Linked DNA regions of Astyanax mexicanus. The main gene of each other region encodes a partner of the protein of the gene in region 2 in a complex. Links are inferred from orthologs where the notes say so. Each region holds a gene or a part of one and is shown on either strand. Other genes may lie near its edges.

Region 1 (11,720 bases), on a different chromosome or scaffold from region 2:
CTTTTCTTTGTCGATAGATCAAAAATAAAATTAAAAACATATAAAAGGCTCGTAGATTGCAAATTTCCCCTTAATTTTCTAAAACTTTCTGGGTTAATTTTATTTTTCCAAAACTTATTCAGGCATGGAAATTGCGATTTTGAATATTCATGACTTCCATGACTTTTCCAGGTTTTTCATGACTGTATGAACCCTGATTATGCTTTAGCAGATCTCTGTGCGACACTTTTGTGAAGTTGTCAGACATTCCCCAGCAGCCTGACAACAATCCTGGATAAACAGTCAAACAAAAAATCCAGTATTCAAGAAGTAAAAACAGGGAAACCCCTTCAGAAAACACACGGCTACAAGCTGGGCCTCCTGAGCTGTTGCTACACCAAAAAAATATAAAATCTGATTCAGCATGATGGAATGAATAGAAGACCTTGTTGGTTTGTTTGTCCAAGAAGGGCGTGCTCTGTCTCCATAACCACCAAATTCTGAACACACGGCTGCTTGTTCACTCATGTCGGGCCAAGAAAATTGGATGATTCGCTCAACGGGACAACAGGAATACTGAGTCCGAAATTCTACAGTTTTTCTGAGCTTTCTCTGAGCTTTCTCTGAAATACTGGCCTACTCCAGATACGTTCATTTTTTACTGTAAAAGCGTTTTACCGTTACATCCTTCCCCTTAGGTAACGCCATCTGTTTTGCATACGCAAGCTCTGTTCCATTCCAGCTTCCTGGAATTCAGGTGAACACAGGCTACAGTAAAACTTCCACTTCCAGCTTTCCTCACATGACTGCTGTTTTCCACTGCTGCAATCAGCCTGCAAGCTGCCAAACTGAGCGAATCACTCAAAATCTCACATTCGTTGCTCATAGTGAGGTAACGTTGCTTGGAGAGTGGCTTATAAATAGCATAATAGTCTGAAAAGTGAAAGTGCCTACAGACCGAATGAGAAGAAACCTGAGAAGAACCTATAGAATACCTATATTTTCTGCTCACACTGAGTCAAGGTTGGTTGGAGAGTGGCTTATACATAGCATGATAGTCTAAAAAGTGGAAGTGCCTCCAGACAGAGTGAGAAGAAACCTGAGAAGAACCTATTCAGAGTTCCTCTCTGTAATGGTCATACATGCTGGAAGTGCTAGGTTTAGCACACACGTGTGAAAATTAAACATAACTAGGACTTTTAAACGGGTAGAATGCCTATATTTTCCGCTCATACTGAGTTACCGGTGGTTGGGGGAGTGGCTTATACATAGCATGATAATCTAAAAAGTGAAAGTGCCTCCAGACAGAGTGAGAAGAAACCTGAGAAGGAACCTATTCAGAGCTCCTCTGTAATGGTCATACATGCTGGAGGTGCTAGGTTTAGCACACACGTGTGAAAATGAAACTTGATTATTAAGAGTTTTAAAAGTATTTAAAGGTCTTTGTTGGTAAAGGTGGTTAAAAGGCTGGTCATCCAAATGGTTTTTGATCTGTAGGTTGCATTTTATTTTGGTCTTCCTGGTCAACCGGCGTGTTTGGTCATACTTGTTCAAACACATGGGTGGGTAGCTGATAAACAAATAAGAACATATACTAATATATTGTATACAATGTATACTGTATAATATAGCTTAGCAGCTACAACGCTAAATATTGTGAGGACAGATGAAATCTTCCTGTTTATTTAGGATATGTTTGGAGACTGATTTGTGTCACAGCCACAGTGTGAAGAAGAAGAGGAAGGAGTAAAAAGAAAAGCAGTAAAAGAAGAAGAAGAAGAAGAAGAAGAAGAAGAAGGTTTGAACAAAAAAGAAGAAAAGAACAAGGAAAAGGAAGAAAGAAGGAAAGGAGAAGAGAGAAAGGAAGATGTAGAAGAAGTAGAAGAAGAAGAATAAGAAGAATGAAAAGATGGAAAAGAAAAAGAAGGTTTGAACAAAAAGAATGAAAAGAAGCAAGAGAACAAGGAAAAGGAGGAATAGAAGGAGAAGAAAAAAGAGAAAGAAGAAAAATAAGGAGAAGTATAAGTAATAGTAAGATGACGAAGAAGAAGACGAAGAATGAATGAATGAAAAGAAAAAGAAGGTTTGAACAAAAAGAACGGAAGGAAGCAAGAGAAGAAGGAAAAGAAGGAATAGAAGGAGAAGAAAAAGAGAAAGAAGAGAAATAAGAAGTATAAGTAATAGTAAGAAGAAGACGAAGAAGCAGAAGAATGAAGGAATAATTGAATGAACTAAAAATTGAATGAATGAATGAATGAATGAATGAGAAGAAAAAAAAAGGTTTGAAGAAAAAGAAGGTTTGAACAAAAAGAATGAAAAGAAGCTAGAGAAGGAAAAGGAAGAAAAGAAGGAGAGGAAGGAAAAGAAGAAGACTAAGAATAAGAATAATAAGAAGAAGAAAACAAAAAGAAGGAAAATAACAAAAAGAAGGAAATGAATGAAAAGAAGGAGAAGAAAAAAACAAGGTTTGAACAAAAAGAAGGAAAAGAAACAAAGAGAAAGAGAATAAGGAAAAGAAGAAGGAGAAAAATGGGAAGAATAGGAAAAGTAAAAAAGGGAAAGAAGGGGAAAAAGGAGAAGAAAATGGAGAGAAGGAGGAGAAGCTGTGAGTGACTCACTGAGACCTTTACTCTCCTTAGTTCACATGATCAAGGGCAAACCCTCGTAATTGCCTGATCTGTCTCCAGCAGTTCTCCACGGAGTTCCGTGAGCAGCTTTATCCAGCTGCTGGGGGCTTTACGGCCACGTTGCAGTACAGTATCAGCTGTAGCTCTGCGGCTGCTGCTGCTGTAACCGAGGTTAGCTAGCTAATTTAACCAGGTAAATTCAGGTAGAGACATAAACCTGACCTGCGCGAGATCTGCCTTCAGAGCCCAGAGCAGTTTATTACAACATGTGTGAGAAAGCAGCAGCCAGCCCTGCGCAGTATTACATAATTCACTACATTCACTACTACCACCAGAGAGGCAACTTGGCTGGGCTGTTAAAAATGAAAATAAATAAAAAAACACACAGAAAACACACCTACGCTTTTCTTTGGAGCTACGTACACAAGATACACAAGTCACGAAGGATCCTGCGTGTCTGAAATCAAGTGTTTTAACTGGATAACTGGTTAAATAAAGAGACACAAAAATAAACTATTCAGTGGGCATTCAGTTCACACACTCATGCTCAGGCTGATGTGTAGGCAGGCAATATCCTGACTAAAACCAGGAAACGACGTTAGAAAAAAAACAGAACCCATGTTCTGTCGAGTTGTGCTACGTTGTCAAAACGTGCTTCCCTAGTGTAGCTATATTTAAGGCAAAATATAAGAATAGATAAGGAAAAAATACGAAAAAGCACCATATAAGAGCTTGTTCTCTACCTTCTGTACGTGCTATGTGCCATTTTTGGATAGTCTAAATCTTAATTAGCTAAGATTTAAATAATTTTATTTAAAAAAGTGTAGGTCAGCGCATGCGCATTGCCCGTAGGAAGCACGTACCGATGGGTAGCACAACTCGACACAACACCGCGTTTAGAAACTCTCAGAAAAAAAGATAGATTTAACTAGATGTCTATTCAACCTTTATAGTTATTTATCTCACGTAAACAATATACGTTAGCTAAAGAAAGCTGGTTACTCCGTCGCTAGGATACTCATAAAAAGCATAAAGGCTTTAAGAAAAGTAACGTTAATTAGCCAACCTACGACGTTCAAAGCAAAATCTGTAACGTTAAAGTTTTCTGTAACGTTAAAACACAAAATGTCTAAATCCCTGTTGAATTCATATTAATGTTAACAGAATAAGGTTAGTAGTAAAGCTCAGAACAACTTGGCACAGTAAAGCACAGTAAAGCACTGTGCCCCCCCACCCCCTTGTGCCCACCGCACTAACGTTAACAAACCTAACGTTAACGTTAATCTGTAATAACTAGCGAGATTAGATCGCTACCTCAGCTGCGGCCCGCACGTTGAGTAGCTGTGTCGGTAGTTAGTTAGTTGAGTGGTTGTAAGGTTAGCTGTGTCGGTGGTGTTGGTAGTGGTGGGTTGTTTTTAACGTTGGATAGACGGCGCTTTGAATGCGGAACAGCGCGCGTAGCGGCTCGCTGCTGTTTTTTCTCACCTCTGAAAGATGTTCCAGAGAAAGGCCTGGTCCGGCGGCGCCTGGTTGTAGTGCGGGGGTCTGTACTGGTTGTGATAAGCCATTTCTCCTCTAATCGAAGCGGAAAATAAAGGCAGCAGCAGCGCGAGGCGTAGTCCTTCAACTTCAGCCTCAATCTGACTCTGACATTCTCCGCGCAGAGGCGGGGCCTCCGCGGAAAACTCGCCGCTTCGAATAAAAAATGCAGTGACGCAGCGCCTGCACCGCGCTAATTGGTCCCGCGGCACCTCCCAGCCTCCTGATTGGGCAGCGCGCAGACTTTGTGCTAAAGGGGCGGAGCCGCAGCGCTGAACCACTCTGACCGGCCGCTGGAAAATATGAATAGTCTTTGTGGAGTAACTCTCACATTATATCATTATATCACATTACAGCCTGTTTTCTACTGTTTTCTACAGATATTAGATAGTTCTATCCGTTTGGAAAAGATTGTAACTAAGACCATATGTAACTAAAATACGAGATAACTAAATGTTAGTATTTCTTCCTATTTGAACTCTATATAGATATCAATCTATCTTGAGATAGCAGCTTATATATATATATATATATATATATATATATATATATATATATATATATATATATATATATATATATATATATATATATATATTCATTGCGTTTTCTTAATTATTTTAATGACTATTTACATTGTAGATTCTCACTGAAGCATCAAAACTATGAATGAACACATGTGGAGTTTTATGTACTTAACCAAAAAATGAGCTGAACCTCCACAGTCACCGGACCTGAACCCAATCCAGATGGTTTGGGGTGGGCTGGAGCACAGAGTGAAGAAGGCAAAGGAGCAACATGTGCTAATAAACACCTCTGGGAACTCCTTCCTTCCTTCAAGACTCATGGAAAACTTTTCATTTCAGGTGACCACCTCTTGAAGCTCATTGATATAATGATGCCAGGAGTGTGTAAAGCAGTAATCAGAGCAAAGGGGGCTATTTTGAAGAAACTAATATATAATATGTGGTCCAAAATTCCAGCTGAGAGGCGTAAGAAGCTTGTTGATGGTTAAAAGAAGCAAAGTATTTTGGTTGGTATATTTATGTTTATAACTAAGTTGTGTGTAGTTTACACATATTTGTGTCTGTATAGTGTAAATATATCCTCTGTGCTGTGTTGAACATTTGCTATTAACTGTGAAATGTCTTAATAAAGAATCTAGCTGCTTATCTGTTTTTCTGTCTGTCTGGTTGTAATATAAAACAATAATGAAAAAATTAAAAGAAACTTAAATTATCCAATTAAAATCCATATTTTTGGGAGTTCCACAGCAACATGAACAGAAATCAGTGTGATTGGTTGTCCAGTGCGTGCTGAGTGCTGATTGGATAAACAGACATGAGAAGATTTTTAAATATTAGCTAGCTAGTTAACTAGCTATCAGAAACCGCCAGATCAAGTTAAAAAAATAAATATACATTTTAATTAGCTAATTTACAGCATAAGGGTAATATATTTATTAGTTAAATATTTATTTAATAGACTTTGTGATCAACAAACCAGTAGTATATGGTGCTAGGTTACACTAGTTAAGTTAGCTAACAAGATAAATCAGTTGCTGCTGAGGTAAATTCTAGCTAAGCTAACAATCTAGTTGACATGTTTTACTACCCTAACGTTCTTCAGCGCCACACTGGCTGTTTCTCTACAATCTGGTAAGATTTACATTTTGATAAATAATAGTGAGAAGAAAAATTATATATTTATAAATTTAAATATAATAAAAAAGGACTTTTATACATTTGACATAGCTAGTGCTAAATAACTAGGTTAGCTAGTTGGCTAACTGCAGGAGCACAGTATAACCTTACCATATAATTTACCTTCAGTATTTTACACAGTTGTCATTTTCCCTAATATAGGAGACTTTTACAGCATAAGGGATATTACAGTTAAATATTTATTAAATAGAATTCATCAATCTAGATAGGCAAGCTAAGTTACTAAAATAAATCAGTCACCACTGAGGTAATTTTTAGCTAAGCTAACTAGCTAAGCTAACTAGCTAAGCTAACGCTAGCTAAAGTAAATTTACATATTTTCCTAGTCACCATAAGTCTGTAAGTCTGTAAGTATAATGAAAATTAAATCTTTATACATTTGGCATAGCTAGTGCGAACTAACTAGCTAGCTAACTGCTGGAGCACAATATACCAAATACCTTCAGTATTCCACACAGTTAATATAAATCAGTCACAGTTGAGGTCATTTTTAGCTAAGCTATAAGCTAATGCTAGCTGAAGTAAGTTGACATTTTAATACCCAAAGGTCACAGGTTATTTTGATAAATAAACATATATTTAAAAATGTAAAATAAAAATGACTTTTTTATACATTTAACATAGCTAGTGCTAATGCTAAACATCTAGCTACCTAAGCTGTAGGAGCATGTTAACTATGTTATTATAGTCTAACCTGACTGACCAAATTACTTAAAATAAAAATAAAAATAACCTAATAATGTAGCTAGGTTAGTCAGTGTAAATGATTTATCACAGATGAAATTATAATGTCTGTTATTACTCTTACCACTAACAGGTTGGCAGCCACTAAAGGTATCAAGATAACAAGAAGAGAGTTCCTCAAGGTCAACATTGGAAGAACATGGTACAGAATCCTCAGAATTAGTATCAATATACTCTGATAATCAACAGGTGGTTTATAGGCATGTGAATCATAGGTGATATATAAAACGCTGGAAACCTTCATAGCTAACCAATGTGTCTCCAAATGGTTTTAAATATAGTAGGATGAGTAGAGGTGGGACAAAATATCAATATTGTGATATATTGTATGGTTTTAGTTTTGTGATACTTTATTTATATGTGAAAATAGTAGAAATTTGGGTGCCTATTTGTTGATTTTACAGTTTCTTCTATTCCTAAGCCATACAATATATAGTGTCAGAAATATATTTCTCATATATTCAGAAACCTGTGTGTTTATCAATTAGTCAGATAATTTGTCTAGTGAGAGTGTAGTCTGGTTTTGGCCTTTAAGCGTAATGTCAACCATTCTTCACTGTTCCCTGCACGATTTACATGATGTATTATTGAGTGCAATCAAAGTAAGTGAATGTTAATTGCACTTACTTAACCTCTATTAAAGTAGCTGATTTATTTGTCTGTAGGCTTTGATTTGAGAGGCTGTATCAGTCACATTGGTTGGCTGTGATCACACTGTAGTGCACCAGAAATCTTTTAAATACATTTTTGTTTGTTAGGGATGTGAAAAGTCACAAGAGGTAAAATCTCTAGAAGAAGTCATTTTCAGTCAATTCAATATTAGCTAGTTCTTTTATGTTGCATCAATTAGTCAATCATAAATTTAACGTGAAATTACCAGCTGTTTTAAGGTGGCCTTTTTGAGTATGTGTGTAATTGTGTGTGTGTGTGTGTGTGTGTGTATGTGTGTGCAGTGAGGACATAATTGACTATGTGAAAGTCCAGGTTCCACCTATTCATCCCAGCCTGCCACGCCCACGATTCTCTCTATATCTCTCCTGTCAGCTGCAGTATGGGGTGATACTTGTCTACCACCGACAGTGTGGGTTCCTGCTGGGTAAGATTTTTAATTTTACCAAATTGAAAACCTCTAGAATATAATCAAGAGGAAGATGGATAATCTCAAGCCATCAAACCACCAAACTGAACTGCTTGAATTTTTGCACCAAGAGTAAAGCAGCATAAAGTTATCCAAAAGCAGTGTGTAAGACTGGTGGAGGAGAACATGATGACAAGATGCATGAAAACTGTGATTAAAAACCAGGGTTATTTCACCAAATACTGATTTTTGAACTCTTTTTGAATATGAACTTGTTTTCTTTTCATTATTAATCCTACCAAACACCCTCTCCTCTTCATATATATATGAACTGAAACAATAAATATACAGAATTTTATTTTATTCATGCTTTTCAAGCTATTCAACCTGTGAAAATCCTACACATACTGTTTATAGGCAGATTTAGAGTGAATTTGTAAATGCAACAACATGGCGATGCATGATGTAACGCAGTACAGCCACCTCCTGTTTGTGCTGCTGTCCGCCCTCTATATCTTAGAAAAACACAATAGTAGGTGGCATGCAGATGTATGTGAGGAGGTGGAGGGTAGTAGGTGATAAGATGAGGAAGTGATATTTAGCAATGCCCACAAATAAGCCTCACAAAATTAGAAAGACAACATAAAGTCCATAATGTAAAATATAAATCATATAAATCAAAGCGCCTTCTCACTACCAATGTAGACAGATCATCAAAATTAAAAAAACTTTACACAACAGTACTTCAGACATCATATGACATAGACATAATATAGAGATTGTATTTGTATAGGGTTATATCTCAGAAGCCTCAAAAACAGTTTTGTTCTGCTTGCCTCTTTGTAAATTCAATATTAATATTTGATTGTAATGTTTGTTTACATGATCCATCCAAAGAGGAGGTCCAGCAGGCCATCAGACATTTGCTGCGCTCAGAGAGACACTCAAAGATCGACATGCAGGAGCCGGACAGGTCAGACTCAACAAGCTCTCTGTCAAATCACCTTTTATTGATCTTGATTGACCTTGATAGACTGATTTATACTACTATTCTTGAATGGCTTGGTTTAAAAGACATTACATTACATTGCATTTAGCAGACAATTTTATCCAAAGGGACACAAAAAATGAGGTACTTTAGCAATAAACGACATAAAAGTCCAAGGCAATTCATTTTTTAGGCATGGCCTAAGGGCAAAAATGTGATAGAGGAAGAAATGAGGAGGGGGAGCAGGAATGAGGTTAAAAGTTAAGTTAGTTAGTTTGTTAGAGGTGTTAGGAGAGTATGTGGCCTTTGTAGAGCTCTGTCTTTTGGAAACCTTGTAGGCAATTGTAAGGACTTTAATCTATAAGAATTTAATCTATAACATTATGTGGCAACTACTGAAAACTCTTGTGACTTGCAGGCTGGGTCTGAACCTCCCAGACTCGCTGTTCCTGTTAGAGGAGGCAGAGGGAGCTCTGGCACCATTCTTTGGGAAAATGGGGGACGAGTGTGAGATGCCCAGTCCCTACCAGCTGCCACAGGTTGGGAAACTTGCAGCGGTGCTGAAAATTGCAGTTATTCCCCACATGATTCACAAAGTGAAACACCAGAATAATGCTCAAATCATATTCAAGCTGAACAGTCTTGTTCTGTCCATATTGTAGGTGCAACATTATGACTAGAAAACTTTAAATAATGATGTCAGTGTTGAATTGTATACACAGATCTGCCTTACCTGTGCTACCACAACAGATCTGATATTTCAGTACATCTGTCCGTGGTGATAATGTTATGGCTGATCGTTGTATAATATCCTTATTGTGATCTTAGACCCTGTATGGATTTACTGTTCACTTTTAGGCTGGTCTGTTTATAATGGCTTCATCTCCAGAATGCCCTCTAAAGCTGACTAAGGAAGACACACCTGGTTTAGGTAAGAAATAAACATTTAAAAAGTTGAATTGAGAAAGCCAACTTACTCTTCATTATTCTATTTACTGAATTTCCCAAAAAATCCTTTACTCTTTACATAGAATTTTGAAGGGTGATCGCACCTATAACCTAACTATTTTCTTTTTTCATACAATAAATGTTTTTACCCATAGGATTCCATTCAAAAGTGTCTTTAAGCTATAAATAATAAAAACAGTTATACAGGTTACTTTTTAAATCCAGAACCACACAATTCTATATACAAATAGAACCAGTTTCAGGCAATGTACCTCTCAAACCATTACAATCAGGTAAAGTATTAGCAATTCACCATTTAGTCGAAAGCTTCTGGAATTTCTCAATTGAGCCAAACATTTTTGAACTTTAGCATTTAACCAGACGTTTTTGGGCAAAGCCCTGATGACCGAAAGTATTAGTATTGGTTCTTTTCTAATTTATCTAGTGTTGCTTTGTATCTGTCTCTCTCACTCTTCTTGTGTGTTTGATGTACAGTAAGCACATTATCATTACCTTGCTAAAACATAATCTTCCATTTCTTAAGGCCACATAGCCTCTCCTGAAACAATTACCATCAGAGATAAGGAACCGGTGCCTATCCTCACTGCTGAGGTAAGATTTAGTAAACTCTTACTTAAGCCCTATCCGGATGGGATTAGTTTCTCAGGGGGTTCTGGGGTAATTTCCTCTTTTATGGGGGGAACGATCATGTAGGTGTTTTTCTCAGACTGTTTTTCTCTGAACTCCGTGCTCCTCCGGTAATTTTAGTCCTGTCCGGACGCACATCTCTGAGTTTCGTCTCCTCGCCTTTAATAAAATAGCTATTTGTTCACTGCCACGCACCGTAATTACACTTTGGGCGCCCCACGGTTTCCACGGAGATCCACGTTAAAAACACAACAGCGAGTGGATATGGAGGAGCTACTGAACACCGCGATGTCATGTGACTGAGAAAAAAAATATTTTACCCAGACGTCCCCCTAAGAGACTAATCCCGTCCAGGTGTGGCTTTAATGTTGGTTTTCATTTCTTCAGTAAGAAATGAAAATGTAAAAGTTACAATAACAGAAAAGACGTATAGTATAAACCTGGCATTAGTCCAGATTTCTGGTCTTCTTTTCCATAAAATTCCCTCGCTTTGGAGAGCAAGTTGAGTAAACAGCTAATCATGAGATCTCTTTTTGCCCATAATATTAATATATAATAATATATTAATAATAGTCTGCCTACATTAGTTCCCACGTTACTCTGAGTCATGGCCACAATCTAGTTGAGAAATAGTATAGTCATAATAGTCTGTATATGACCTTTTCTCACCCACATGCATCACTGGCTCTTGATTTCTATCGTCTTCTTTCCCTTAATACTTAGTTTGGAGGGGCAGAGCTACCTGAGGCCACAGCCTACGAGATCGACCTGCTTATGGAGCAGCAAGATCGGTTTTTCCTTGGAGGTGAAGTAGATGAAAAGGTCTTTGCACATTAAAGAATGAGTATCCAGATTTTTCTCATATATTAGTCTCTCTATTACAGAAGTGGAGGATAAGGAAAGAGAGAGGGCAGGAGATGGAGAGACAACAAGAGAGTTGGGGGCTGCCATGGTCTCCATAGAGCAGTGAGTAGAATAGTCAGATTCCATTACAATACAACAGCTTCATTCTATTGCATAATTATTGACGATTGCCTGCCTTAACTTTCTGTGATTGGCCAAAATCATCTAAAAATGATTTCACACTACTGACTGTCTTTTTTATTTACTTAGTCCATTTATTTATTTTATTTTATGTTCTACCTTTTGGCCTTCTGTCTTTTTATTTATTTAATTAATTTTGCACCTTTATTTATCTTATTTTCTGTTTTACCTTTTGGCCTTTTGTCTTTTTATTTTTTATTTTTTCCTTTTTTTATGATCTTATTTTCTGTTTTAACTTTTAAACTTCTATCTTTTTATTTATTTAATAATTTTCCCCCTTTATTTATTGTATTTTCTGTTTTACCTTTTTTATTTTAGTTCTATCGTTTACTTTCTTTATAATCTTAGTGTTTTAGTGTTATTTTACACTTTACTTTCTTTAAAATCTTAATGTTATTTTA
Region 2 (11,030 bases):
GGCTCGGCCAGGTCCAGTTCAAAGATCTCCAGGGAGGCATTGGTGCTAAAGGTAGCATCGAGCTGTTGAGCAGACGTGCCTGAGCAGGAGCAGATGAGAACAGCAGGTGAGAAACATTTGGTTGCATACAAATGGACATTAGAGAGGCAAATGGCTTTAGCAAACACTGGTAAAACACAGAGTTTACCATTATTTATCTGCTGAACCCATCTGGGATCTGAGGGTACTGTGATTAATTAGGTAAATCACAATGATTATGTTGCAACAAGCAGAATATTGTAGCTGTGCACTGCAAAACATATCTCCATAACAGCAATTTTACAGGAGAGAGATAAAACCTTCTTAGCTTTCAATGGAAGTCAATGTAAAAAAAAATGTATTTCAGATAATCTAGAGAATTTGTATTGGTCAATTCATTGCGAAAATGCCACATTGTAAGGGAAAGTTGTGTGTTAATTATATAGTAAACTAAAAATCAACAGAAATGTAGATACTTGTTTTTCTTTGGACAGAGACATAATCACTCGTTCTGCTAGCATCCATATGCACAACTTTAGCATAAGCTAGTTACATAAAAACATAGTTTCCTAGGTAGCTTAATAAATCAAACAACAAAAATCTGAAACCCATTAAATACAGTATGTTAATGCATTCAGTGAGTTTTGCACCTACCAAATACTAGCTACATTAGACGTCTATTTTACTGGGTGAAAATGCTAATGCATAATGATAGTAGATGTATTTCTGCCTTTCTGCCTTCGGTTATAGAGACCTTGCTCACTAAACTGTATTTTAAAACACTGATTTGTAAGACAGCATTGGCAAATTGGTAAATATAGTGCTGTCTTAAGCTGAATCTGAATACTTGAAATGTGCTATTCAAATGATGATAGCTAAACATTTTGCTATAGAACTGATTAGCAATTAGCAATTGCAATACTACAGCTCAGCTGGTATAGAGGCAATCGTGACTGGAAAAATTGGTTGTGGCCAAAATATGTAAACAAAAAAAGCAGTGTAGAGATGTATATTTTAGCTTAAACAAGGCAGCTAAGGCTAAACCTGTTAGCTAGTAGAACAATTGTTTTTGTTTACATGTTAAGATGTACTTGACTCTACAAATAAGGCAAGGTATCTATACAGTATTCTAGGCAACACAGATACTGTACATACCGTACATATTGTTATGTTAGTATAACAAAGGATGAACTGCTATCACTGGTAACTAGGCAGCAAAGAGACAACTAATACATTTGCTAAACTCCAAAAGCAACGTTTGTTACTTCAGACCTGCAGTTTAGTAGCTGGATAAAATGTACAATACCACCACTAATGGAAAAGCCAATTAAATTATTAATCATAATTATTCATGCAACAAATAACTTCTTCTGAATATTTTATGGCCTACACTGCAGACCTTTGTGACTTGTGGAAAAATACTATACATGTACCCCAATACAGAAGATTATTGCCTTCCCAAAACAGTCACATACAAGTCTTCAGCTCAGAAACTACAGTGTATATGAGTTACCTGCTGCCAAGTAAATGGGGTGGTGCTGTGCCGGGCTCCAAGCCTGTATGGCAGTGCGGTTTATCTCTTTCAGCTTCATCCTACAACCACAACAATCACAGAAGTGTTATCAACTGACACTGTGAGGTTAAAATCCGTTAACGCAAACAGCCTGCTGATGGATATCACAGTACTACTAGAAAAGGCTTTATAATTATACGTACGTGTAATTCATTGAAGGAGAATGTTACCAAAGGAATGGTGTAAAGCTCTGTGGAAAGGGCCTGTTAAGTCAGAACTTTTGAGTCACCAACTGTGTTGGTGGTAAGAGAGGTCTGGAAAAGCAGTCTGAACCAGACATCTTAATAGTTTTATACTTCTAACAGGGCCACAAACAATCAATAGTAATATTTGCAGTCAGATTTTAGTTTTTGTACTGAAATCTCAAAATCTCTTGTTTTACATCTCAATTCCTTCATTCCAACCTTGCTCATAGGACCATAACCTAAACTTAAATCACATTAAGTTAGGTAAAATAGATAGGAATATGATTTCTGATACCTGAAACATTGTTTTCACATAGTTCAAAAAATTGGCATAATATTTTTGTTTTCATTCATTTATGGAAAGGTAGTACAAGGTAGGGGGTTATTAAGCAAGATAAAGATATTATATATTACATATTTTTCTAGTTTGCCACTAATTCACCATTGTAAACATTACATATTAAAGGACACATATGTCCACTGTTTGTGCTGGATATTTTTTCCAAGTTCATTCAGATTTTTTTTTTTTTTTTTTTACACTTTTGCCTGTATACCTGAAATCCATTTTAAGGTAATACTCTCATTCTGTTTATACATCCAACTCTATCCATATTGGCCCCCATTCCTCATTGCAGAAATCATGCAGCCCTATTTTCAAAGCATCACATATGATGCCTATTACCTGATAAACTGTTTTACCGTAGTTTTGAAGTTGTATTTGAGATCTCAGTTTTCTTTAAGATTTTTGGCCTAAAATATATTTTATAATTCAATAAAGGTAAGGCAGTGCATGTAAGGTGTTATACAGAAGATTAAAGACAGATTTTTATTTTAACACTATTTTAGCACTGTAAACATAAAAACAAAATTAAGGACAGACAAATTCACTGGTTATGTTTGAAAGCAACTATAAAGACAGAAATAAAACTTTATTGCCTAGTCCTAGTCCCCATTATCCAGAATTCTTTAAAGTAAAATATATTTTACTTCAAAGTTCAAATCACTCTAAATTATTATAAATCCCCTTTAACAAGCTGTTCCTGAGCTGAACTGGTGTGTTTGAACAGGGGAAAAAAACGTAATAACATGCAAGGAATCCCAATCCCAGTCATGGTGATCTGCTGCCTTGAGGGGTTTAAACTCCAATCCTAATCTAGCCCAGCTAATCTTGTTATTGAAGACCTTCTGGAGCATCTGAAGCCATGGAGGCATGTTGGAACTATAATCTGACTAGAACTAGACTTAGAATATAACCCTGCATTACAACGCAGGGGTACTATTAGCTACAGTTCCACTATGGTGAACCATTTACTTAGCTTTACAATTGGTGGATCAGTCAGGTAGGCCCAAACTACAGTGCTAAAGAATTCATAACACAGGTCCAGCATTCCTATGAGTGCATGAACACGTTTTGGTGACAGACTGGATTACGAATGCTCTGATGGAGCAGACCAAACTTTAGGAAGAAGGTGAAATGTTAGCTAGCTATAGAGCCTGGCCCTAGATTATCAAAGTGGTGCCTAAAAAACACTGATGATTACGTGGCCTATGGATTGCCCCAGCTCAGATTGTACAATCTGGGGTAAAACAGAAGAGATTTCAGCAGATGAATAGCAAATTCTGGCAACTATGATCAGCTGTTACAACATCTTAACTAGCTAGTTAAGGTTATGATTGATCAGTCCTACTAAGACATGATTAAACAACATAACTAACTAAACATACTCATGTTGAATTAAAGTGAGAGCAGTTTCTGAGCCCCAACCATTGAAACCCTTTAAATTACCCTGGATTCAATGTCAATTTCAAAATTTCTGCATTTCACAGCATGCCGGCTACAGTATGGTGCTATGTTAAACTAAGGTTAATTTTAATCATCAACTTTAAAATATGTATCAAATGCAATCAAACAATAAGCTAACGTTTATTCAAATGTTCTTTGCTATCATGGGTAAACAAATCAAATGAATTAAACTAGCACACATTTAAGGTTAGCTAGAATCGTTAGTTAGGCAACAATAGCACAGTATTAAAGACATAGGCTATAACGCAAAGTAGCTAGTTTAGAAGGCTGTACAGGATGCTGAAAAAAAAAACATTAGCTAGCTAGAATTAAGTCTAAATTAACCAATCCTAGGTTAGATAACAGAACTTCCTACTAGGCTGCAGCATACAAGCTAAATAATCCAGATGTTAATAAACAGTATGCCTATGATGCTATGTTAAAATTGTTTTGCTATAAATCAACATTAAACTATGTATCTAATGTAAACAAACAATTAGCTAACGTTTATTCAATGTTCTTTGCTATCATGGGTAAACAAATCAAATGAATTGAGCTAGTGCAGATTTAAGGTTAGCTAGGACAGTGTGGCAACAATCAAAAGCACAGTATTAAAGACATATAAAGCAAAGTAGCTAGTTTAGATAGATGTACAGAATGTTGGAAATAATAATGAGTTAATCTTGATGATTAATATTAGGTCTAGGTAACTAAATTAGTTAGTTAGTTAGGTACTAAGGCTGCAGCTTAACTGACCTAGCTAAACAAGGCAGCTACTGCAGCCCAGAGCACAAAAACACACTATTACTGCCTCACTGACTCCTTTATAACAACCCAATCTGCTTCTCAACAATATTTAGAGTAGTATTAATATTAAATAAGTCTTCCTGGCTACATAACACAGCCCTAACTGTACTGTAGCTAACAGCTAAAGATAGCTTCAGCTAACAGAGCTTCTAAATCTCCCCCAACACTCCAAAAAGTGCTTACCTTCCCTCTGGTCGCTGCTCACAGGCATGCACAGCTCATCCACGCGGTCTGAACAGGGTAAAACTTTAATCAGCGGCTCAGAAATCCTTTTTCTCGGGTTAGTAAACTGTGTGCAGAGAGTCAGCGGCTGGCCCGGTTACACATAGGAACAGTTCCACGTCCCCACTGGCCTCCTCCATCAACGTGGCACAATACTGCCCTCCCCCAGAACAGCACTTCCGCTCAGCCAGCCAGTCAGCGCAGGCGGGCGCGTCCCAATTCTTCCCTACCCCCTATTTAGTGCACGTACTGTACTAGTGCACGTCTCTCTAGATGACTACGTGACCGACTGGGAGCCTGTGTTCTTCTAAATATATATATATATATTTTTTTTTGTGTGTACATAAACATACATTAATAGTACTGGGTAATATATATATATATATATATATATATATATATATATATATATATATATATATATATATATATATATATATGTGTGTGTGTGTGTACATTTGGAGTTTATCACCATCTATAATATGTCAACACCAGTGATGTCAGTAACGCGTTACTCTAATCTGACTCTTTTTTCAGTAACGAGTAATCTAACGCGTTACTATTTCCAATGCAGTAATCAGATTAAAGTTACTTATCCAAGTCACTGTGCGTTACTCTCTCTCTCTCTCCACCCTCACACACACTCACACACACACACACACAAACACACACACCACGTTCCCTTCCCCATCCCCCTCCGCTCTCCCCCAATCACACGCGTCTCGCTTTCTCCCCTGTCTCTCTCTCTCGCGCTCGGCGTGTCTTTAGTTTCCGCCCATTCTCGTTTTTTCGCCAGTTCTCGGGCTCCCTATCTCTTTATAAAGGCGGTTTTTCCCGGCCGCGTCCCAATTCACTAGCCAGCGCAGCGGTCTGCACAGATCTGATTGGCAGAGGAGAGCGTTTGAAGATTTTACACCACACGTGATTGGTCTGCAAGTTTCCCGTGCCGCAGAGCGCATACCATAAAGACAAGAAAAGTTCTGACGCTTTAAATGAACACTGTCAGAATTAAATCCTTCTCAGTAGTTTATCGGTTTGGCTCCGCATTGGACAACATCTAGGTCCGGACCCGGACCGCAGTCTGCATATATGTGATCCCTGGCCTCGACCATATACACGGTTCTGTTTTATAATACCACTCCTTGCTGCCCTGCAGAGAACAACAGGTTCAATGTTCAGTTTTACAGTGTTAAATATGTCAGGTCAAGAAAGACTTTCAATATTTTATATTTTTTTATAAAAACAAGTATTTAAGTTAAGTGAAATCAAGAAAGACCATATTTTATTTTTTATAAAAAAAAATATTTATGTTAAGTTAATTCAAGAGAAATGGTCTTTTAATTTTATAAAAATAAATAGTTCAACTTTAAATGTCTAGAGATACATTGATGCTGTTAAAAATGCTTTTTTTTCCAGTAAAGGGAGTATTGGCAAAACTGGTTATAATTTTTAAGTTAAGGCGACGGGACGTGGTGTGTGCAGCTGCTTAAAGTAACTAATAAAGTAACTTGTAAAGTAACTTAGTTACTTTTAAAATCAAGTAATCCATAAAGTAACTAAGCTTTTTTTAAGGAGTAATCAGTAATCAGTAATCGGATTACTTTTTCAAAGTAACTATACCATCACTCATGGCTGGATTACTGACCGGGCCAGTGGGGCCAGCGCCCAGGGGCCCTTGAGGTCAGGGGGCCCCAGGGGGACCCTGGCCGAAAACTTTTTGCGATGCCTATCAACATTTATGGTACAATGTATTTTTATTCCCGAGGGCCCTCCATTTTAAGGATCCTCTGACTATTAGGGATTTGACCCCATAGCCTCTTGGGGGCCCTAGCCATGCTTTTGGGGGCCCTAGCCATGCTTTTGGGCCCCTTAGGAAAATGGATGAGGCGTTGTGGCACTGCTCTGACTTCGACTTCTGGCTATTAGGGGTCCTAGGAAAGAGGGGGGCATATTTTTAGAGGGCCCTGGTTATGAGAGCCCCTACCAGGGGGCCCTAGAGAAGAGCAGAGCATACCATTAGAGGGCCCTTGATCACGAGGGCCCCTGCTATGGGGCCCTTGACTTCCATAGAAGTCGTTTACCATGGCTCCTTGACTTTTTAGGGAACTACAAATTCAGGCCCTTACTTAATGTTTCTGAATTTGTATTGTTTCAAACTTATTATGTTCACTTTCTCTTAAGCGCAGAGACACAAATTAATTTAGCAATTTTGCAATTATTTAAATTTAAGACAAAATTGCTTGTCTGATGAATGCTATCTTTGACACCGATTAAATTGACTGAATTTGGCCAAGGGTGTGATTTCACTTATGTGAAAACAACAAGCCATTTGACTAGTTTCATGTTTCCCCTTTAATAAACAACAGTAAAGAGACCAGTGGTCACTCTAGTTCTGAAGGAATGCATGAAAGGAAAAGTGCCTTTTCATACAACAGAACTGCAAGCTAATTTTACTGAGTAGCACAATTTTGGTTTGGTGATGATGAAACAGCAAGTGGTTTTGTTGTAGTAGCTGTGGCTGCGTATGCGTGTAACCCTGATATTTTGTTTGAGGATTATTTATTGGAAAACATATTTTATTCAGCTTGTTATTCAATGACTATTCAATGACAGTTTGACATGACTTGACATGTTTCAAGGCAGTGTGAAGGGGTCTTGACAATAATTAAACTTGATTTAATCTCATTAACACAGCATTTTTAATATACTTAAAACCTTCCCCCTGTGTCCCTCTCCATGCCTCTCTCTCTCTCTCACACACACACACACACACAAAACAGCATTTTTGTAGTAGACTATCTACTACAAAAATGCTGTTTTGTGTGTGTGTGTGTGTGTGTGAGAGAGAGAGAGAGAGAGAGAGAGAGAGAGGGGCAAGGCTGCCCCTCCCCCACCCTCTCACTCAGTGGTGAAAAATTGTTACATTGCCCTAAATTCCCACGGGGGCTGAGCCAATCAGGTGTTGCGAGAACTTCCAAGTGAATATGCAAGATCTATATAAAACCCCCTGCCAGTATCAAAACTCCTCACATTCAGACAGTTCAGCTTGCAAACTTGGTCTGTGCTTTTACTACAACTTTTACTTTGCTATTACCTGATCAGCAACCAACAGCCTTTTTAAAGGCTCATTGCCCTTTATACTGCATTATATTATTTTATAATATATATAAATATTTTTATATTATATTATACTATACTATATTGCATATATTCTGTTACATTATTTTCATAGTCTTTTCAAAGGCTTATATATTATATTATATTATATTACATGATATAATATTACATTACTATATTTACTATATTAAACTTTGAAAGGTTCACAGCCTTTTTCAAGGCTAGTGTAACGTTGCTAACTAGCAACTCACAGCTTTTTTAAAAGCTTATTGTTATTTGCATATTACATTATTGATAATAGTAGAAGTGTAAGCTTTATAATAGTACATACATACAATACATTTACAATAACAACAATTTATAGCTAAATAGTTATAGGTCAGCCTTTTTTTATTACATATTGTATCTGGTTCTACAATTTTGTGATTGTATTTTTTTCCTGAACATACAGCATAGAAACAACATAGTAAGTATTGGATAGGAATAGGAATTTGCAAGACAAGCTTCTATATTTGCATCTTAAGAAACACTTGCCATTAATAACATGGATCCCAAACACAAAAGTGGTGCCTCAAAAAGAAAAGCAAAAAAGATTAAGGAAGCAAATCAGGCAGATTTCCTGAAAAGCGTACCTTTGATCTCAAACTTCTTTGAGAAACCGCTCAATATGAGTGAGACAAGTATTGCTAATGTTAGCAGTGATCAGAGTTCTAGCAATGAAGATGTGATCCCCACTGGCTTAGTGTCACCTGTCAGTGACTATGTACCTTTGCAGACCCAGTCAGGTGCAGAGCAGGAATGCCAGCCCTGGCAGGCTACCACAGACCAGCAGCAGAAAGACCATGAAAGGAAAGTTGCAGGTGTGTCAGACCCACAATCAGACCAGCCAGCTGCATCGTGTGAGTGTCGTTTTTCAAATGAGGAGGGCAAGGACCCCAACTCCTGGTGTGAAACGGTCAACGACCCTGCTTTATGGCCCAGTACCATTACCGACCAAGCCAAGTCGATTCTTGTTAGTAGAGGAGAAACTGCATTTCAAAACAGAAGTGCTAAGTACCCAGCCTCAGTCAGGGATAGAGGCATTGGGGGTACCAGTAGGAGCTTTACAAATGCTCTACTCAGTTGCTCTCTACCCAATGGGCAAACTGTGACTAGGCAGTGGCTACTTTACTCTCCTTCAACTGGCTGTGTGTATTGTTTTGCTTGCAAACTGTTTTCCAGTAAGCACAATACTTTTGTTCATGGATTTTCTGACTGGAAACATTCAGAGCGGATTGGTGAGTGACGTATATTTGAGCATACACAGTTGTAAACACATGGGATATTCACCATATTCACCATTATCATATATATTTTCCACACAGAATGGCCACTGGACCACAGGGAACAGATGGAGTAAGCCCTAACTTAAACACATTTGTTTTTTTTAAGCATAGGCTAGTATGGGGGAGCACTTCTTTCCCCTCCCATGCATTGCGTCAAACTAACTTGTGTATGTTCTATGTATGTGCGCTATAGGAGCGTATGTTAAGTGTTTCCAGCTGTGAGGTGTTTTTAAACATAAAGGCTGGACTTCAGCAATTCCAGCCAGAGAGAGCTTGGGATCAGATTTGGGAACCTCTCTCCAAGCAAAACCGGTTTGCTTGTTAATGATGCTGTTATCTTTTGTACTAATTATTCTTTTTTCTGTAATAAATTTTCTTATATACAAAGAACAGTATCAGCAAAGACTTATTTCATGCATCTACATGGCATCACAGCTCAAGATTCTACAGAAAATGGCACCCCAGATGGGACTCTCGTTGTGGCCTGTGCTTTCATACTGCTTCAGTGCTTCCACCACTGCTACAGCCGGCAAAGGAAGGTAAGCATTTTTCACATGTGCGCTGGTGGAAGTGGTGAAGTGTGTGTGTGGCTGTTTGGGTCGCAGAGGAAAAGCCTGCTCCATGCGTGGCTGTCATGCTGTGTAGATGTATGGGATAATGCTTTGTTCTAAATTGGGGTAAAAGTATTTTAACTAGAAGGGGTACAACTGCAGTAATTAAGTAAAAGAGAAAGAGTTAAAGGAAAAAGTGAAGAATAAAGAGAAGAGTAAAAAAGAGAAATAGGAATGACGTCAAAAGAAGAAGAAGGAAAAAAAAATACAGTAACTAGTAACAAGTATTGTACGGCATGCGTGAAATATAGTCTTCAGGGCGGCGTAAGACTATACGTGATTTTCTATAAGACGTGTCCCCAAACCCGGCTTTAGCGTGCATTATCTATGTGAAAGTTGACTGAAAAAGGTATTTATGTGTTTTTAAGAAGAAGAAGAAGAAGAAGAGATTAAAACGCATGCGAAAGAGGAAAAAGTGTGAAAAGGCCTTAAAAGAGAATAAAGGAAAAAAGGATTAAAAGAAAAAGAAATAGAGAGGAATACTGCAGTGACAGCAGTAAAAGAAGCTAGCAAAGAAAAAAGAAAATATGTTAAGAAAAGAGATAGGAAACCTGCAGGAGAAAAAAATAAATAAATTTAAAATAAAAAAGGGAAAATGGTTAAAGAGTCGACTTTCTTATTTTTGGTGTGGAAGAAGTGTTGGCCACTGTGTGTGTGTGAAAGGCCTGTATGAGTCTGTGAGTGTGTGTGTGAGTGTGTGTAGGGTGATTGATGGTTTTGGGGCCTCTGTCTTTAGCTGTGTGAGGCTCTCTCTCTGTCTCACTCTGTCTGTGTGTGTGTAGTTATGTGTTGTATGTTATATGTTGTATGTTTTGTGTCTAATGGCCGATAATAAATAATTAATAGATTAGGGTAATTAAATGAGTATATGAAGTAATACAAATAAGTGGTAGTCTTGAAATGAGGAGAAAAAGCTTATGAGTTTATGAATAAGGGTTAAGTAAGTATTATATATGTGTTTGAGAATTATTATGACAATTAGTATTATTAGGAGTTGTTATCTGTGAACCAGTGAGCAAGAGCCAACTGATAAGAACAGAGGCACGTAAACATGGAAGTTGGTCATAACAGCTAAATCTGGGAATTATAACAGTGGATTTTAGTGGTGCGTTCTTCCTCCTGCTAGCCCCTCCTTTCTCGCTTTTTCTTTTTCTCTCTTTCTCTATGGGTCTTTTGAGGGACCTCTTTCTCTCTATATATCTATGTGCTAGGGATGTCTTTCAAAGAAAAAAATAAAAAAATAGTAAAACTGTGGAGTATATAAGTATTGTTAGAAGACTGTGTTTGTATAAGTACATTGTAAGAGTTCCAGATGTCTCAATGTTCAGAATCAAGAAATGTGCGGCCGCCAAACAATTGAACATGAGAGATTCTGAAAATATTCAGTCA

The links. The genes of interacting proteins can lie anywhere in the genome.
Region 1: the proteins of sec31a (region 2) and pdcd6 are in contact, whole or in part, in a crystal structure (PDB 3WXA), measured with the Homo sapiens proteins. The link is inferred for Astyanax mexicanus from reciprocal best matches to the Homo sapiens genes SEC31A and PDCD6. Residues at the interface, in NP_001070675.1 of Homo sapiens: Asn837, Pro838, Pro839, Pro840, Pro841, Gly842, Phe843, Ile844, Met845; in NP_037364.1 of Homo sapiens: Val31, Val35, Leu48, Ala51, Leu52, Ser53, Asn54, Gly55, Thr56, Trp57, Phe85, Trp89, Ile92, Gln96, Phe99, Phe148.

What each region holds. Positions count from the first base shown.
Region 1 is NC_064413.1:886,665-898,384, forward strand, and holds the start of pdcd6 (programmed cell death protein 6), read right to left. Parts: upstream 4,433-11,720; 5' UTR 4,175-4,432; coding exon 4,092-4,174; intron 1-4,091. Other genes in the region: rec8b (REC8 meiotic recombination protein b), read left to right, coding at 5,748-5,803, 6,687-6,755, 7,567-7,709, 8,589-8,664, 9,098-9,218, 9,538-9,610, 10,172-10,239, 10,999-11,080 and 1 more. UniProt on the Homo sapiens protein: Calcium sensor that plays a key role in processes such as endoplasmic reticulum (ER)-Golgi vesicular transport, endosomal biogenesis or membrane repair.
Region 2 is NC_064427.1:26,910,524-26,921,553, forward strand, and holds the start of sec31a (protein transport protein Sec31A), read right to left. Parts: upstream 4,751-11,030; 5' UTR 4,550-4,750; intron 1,612-4,549; 5' UTR 1,611-1,611; coding exon 1,532-1,610; intron 80-1,531; coding exon 1-79. UniProt on the Homo sapiens protein: Component of the coat protein complex II (COPII) which promotes the formation of transport vesicles from the endoplasmic reticulum (ER).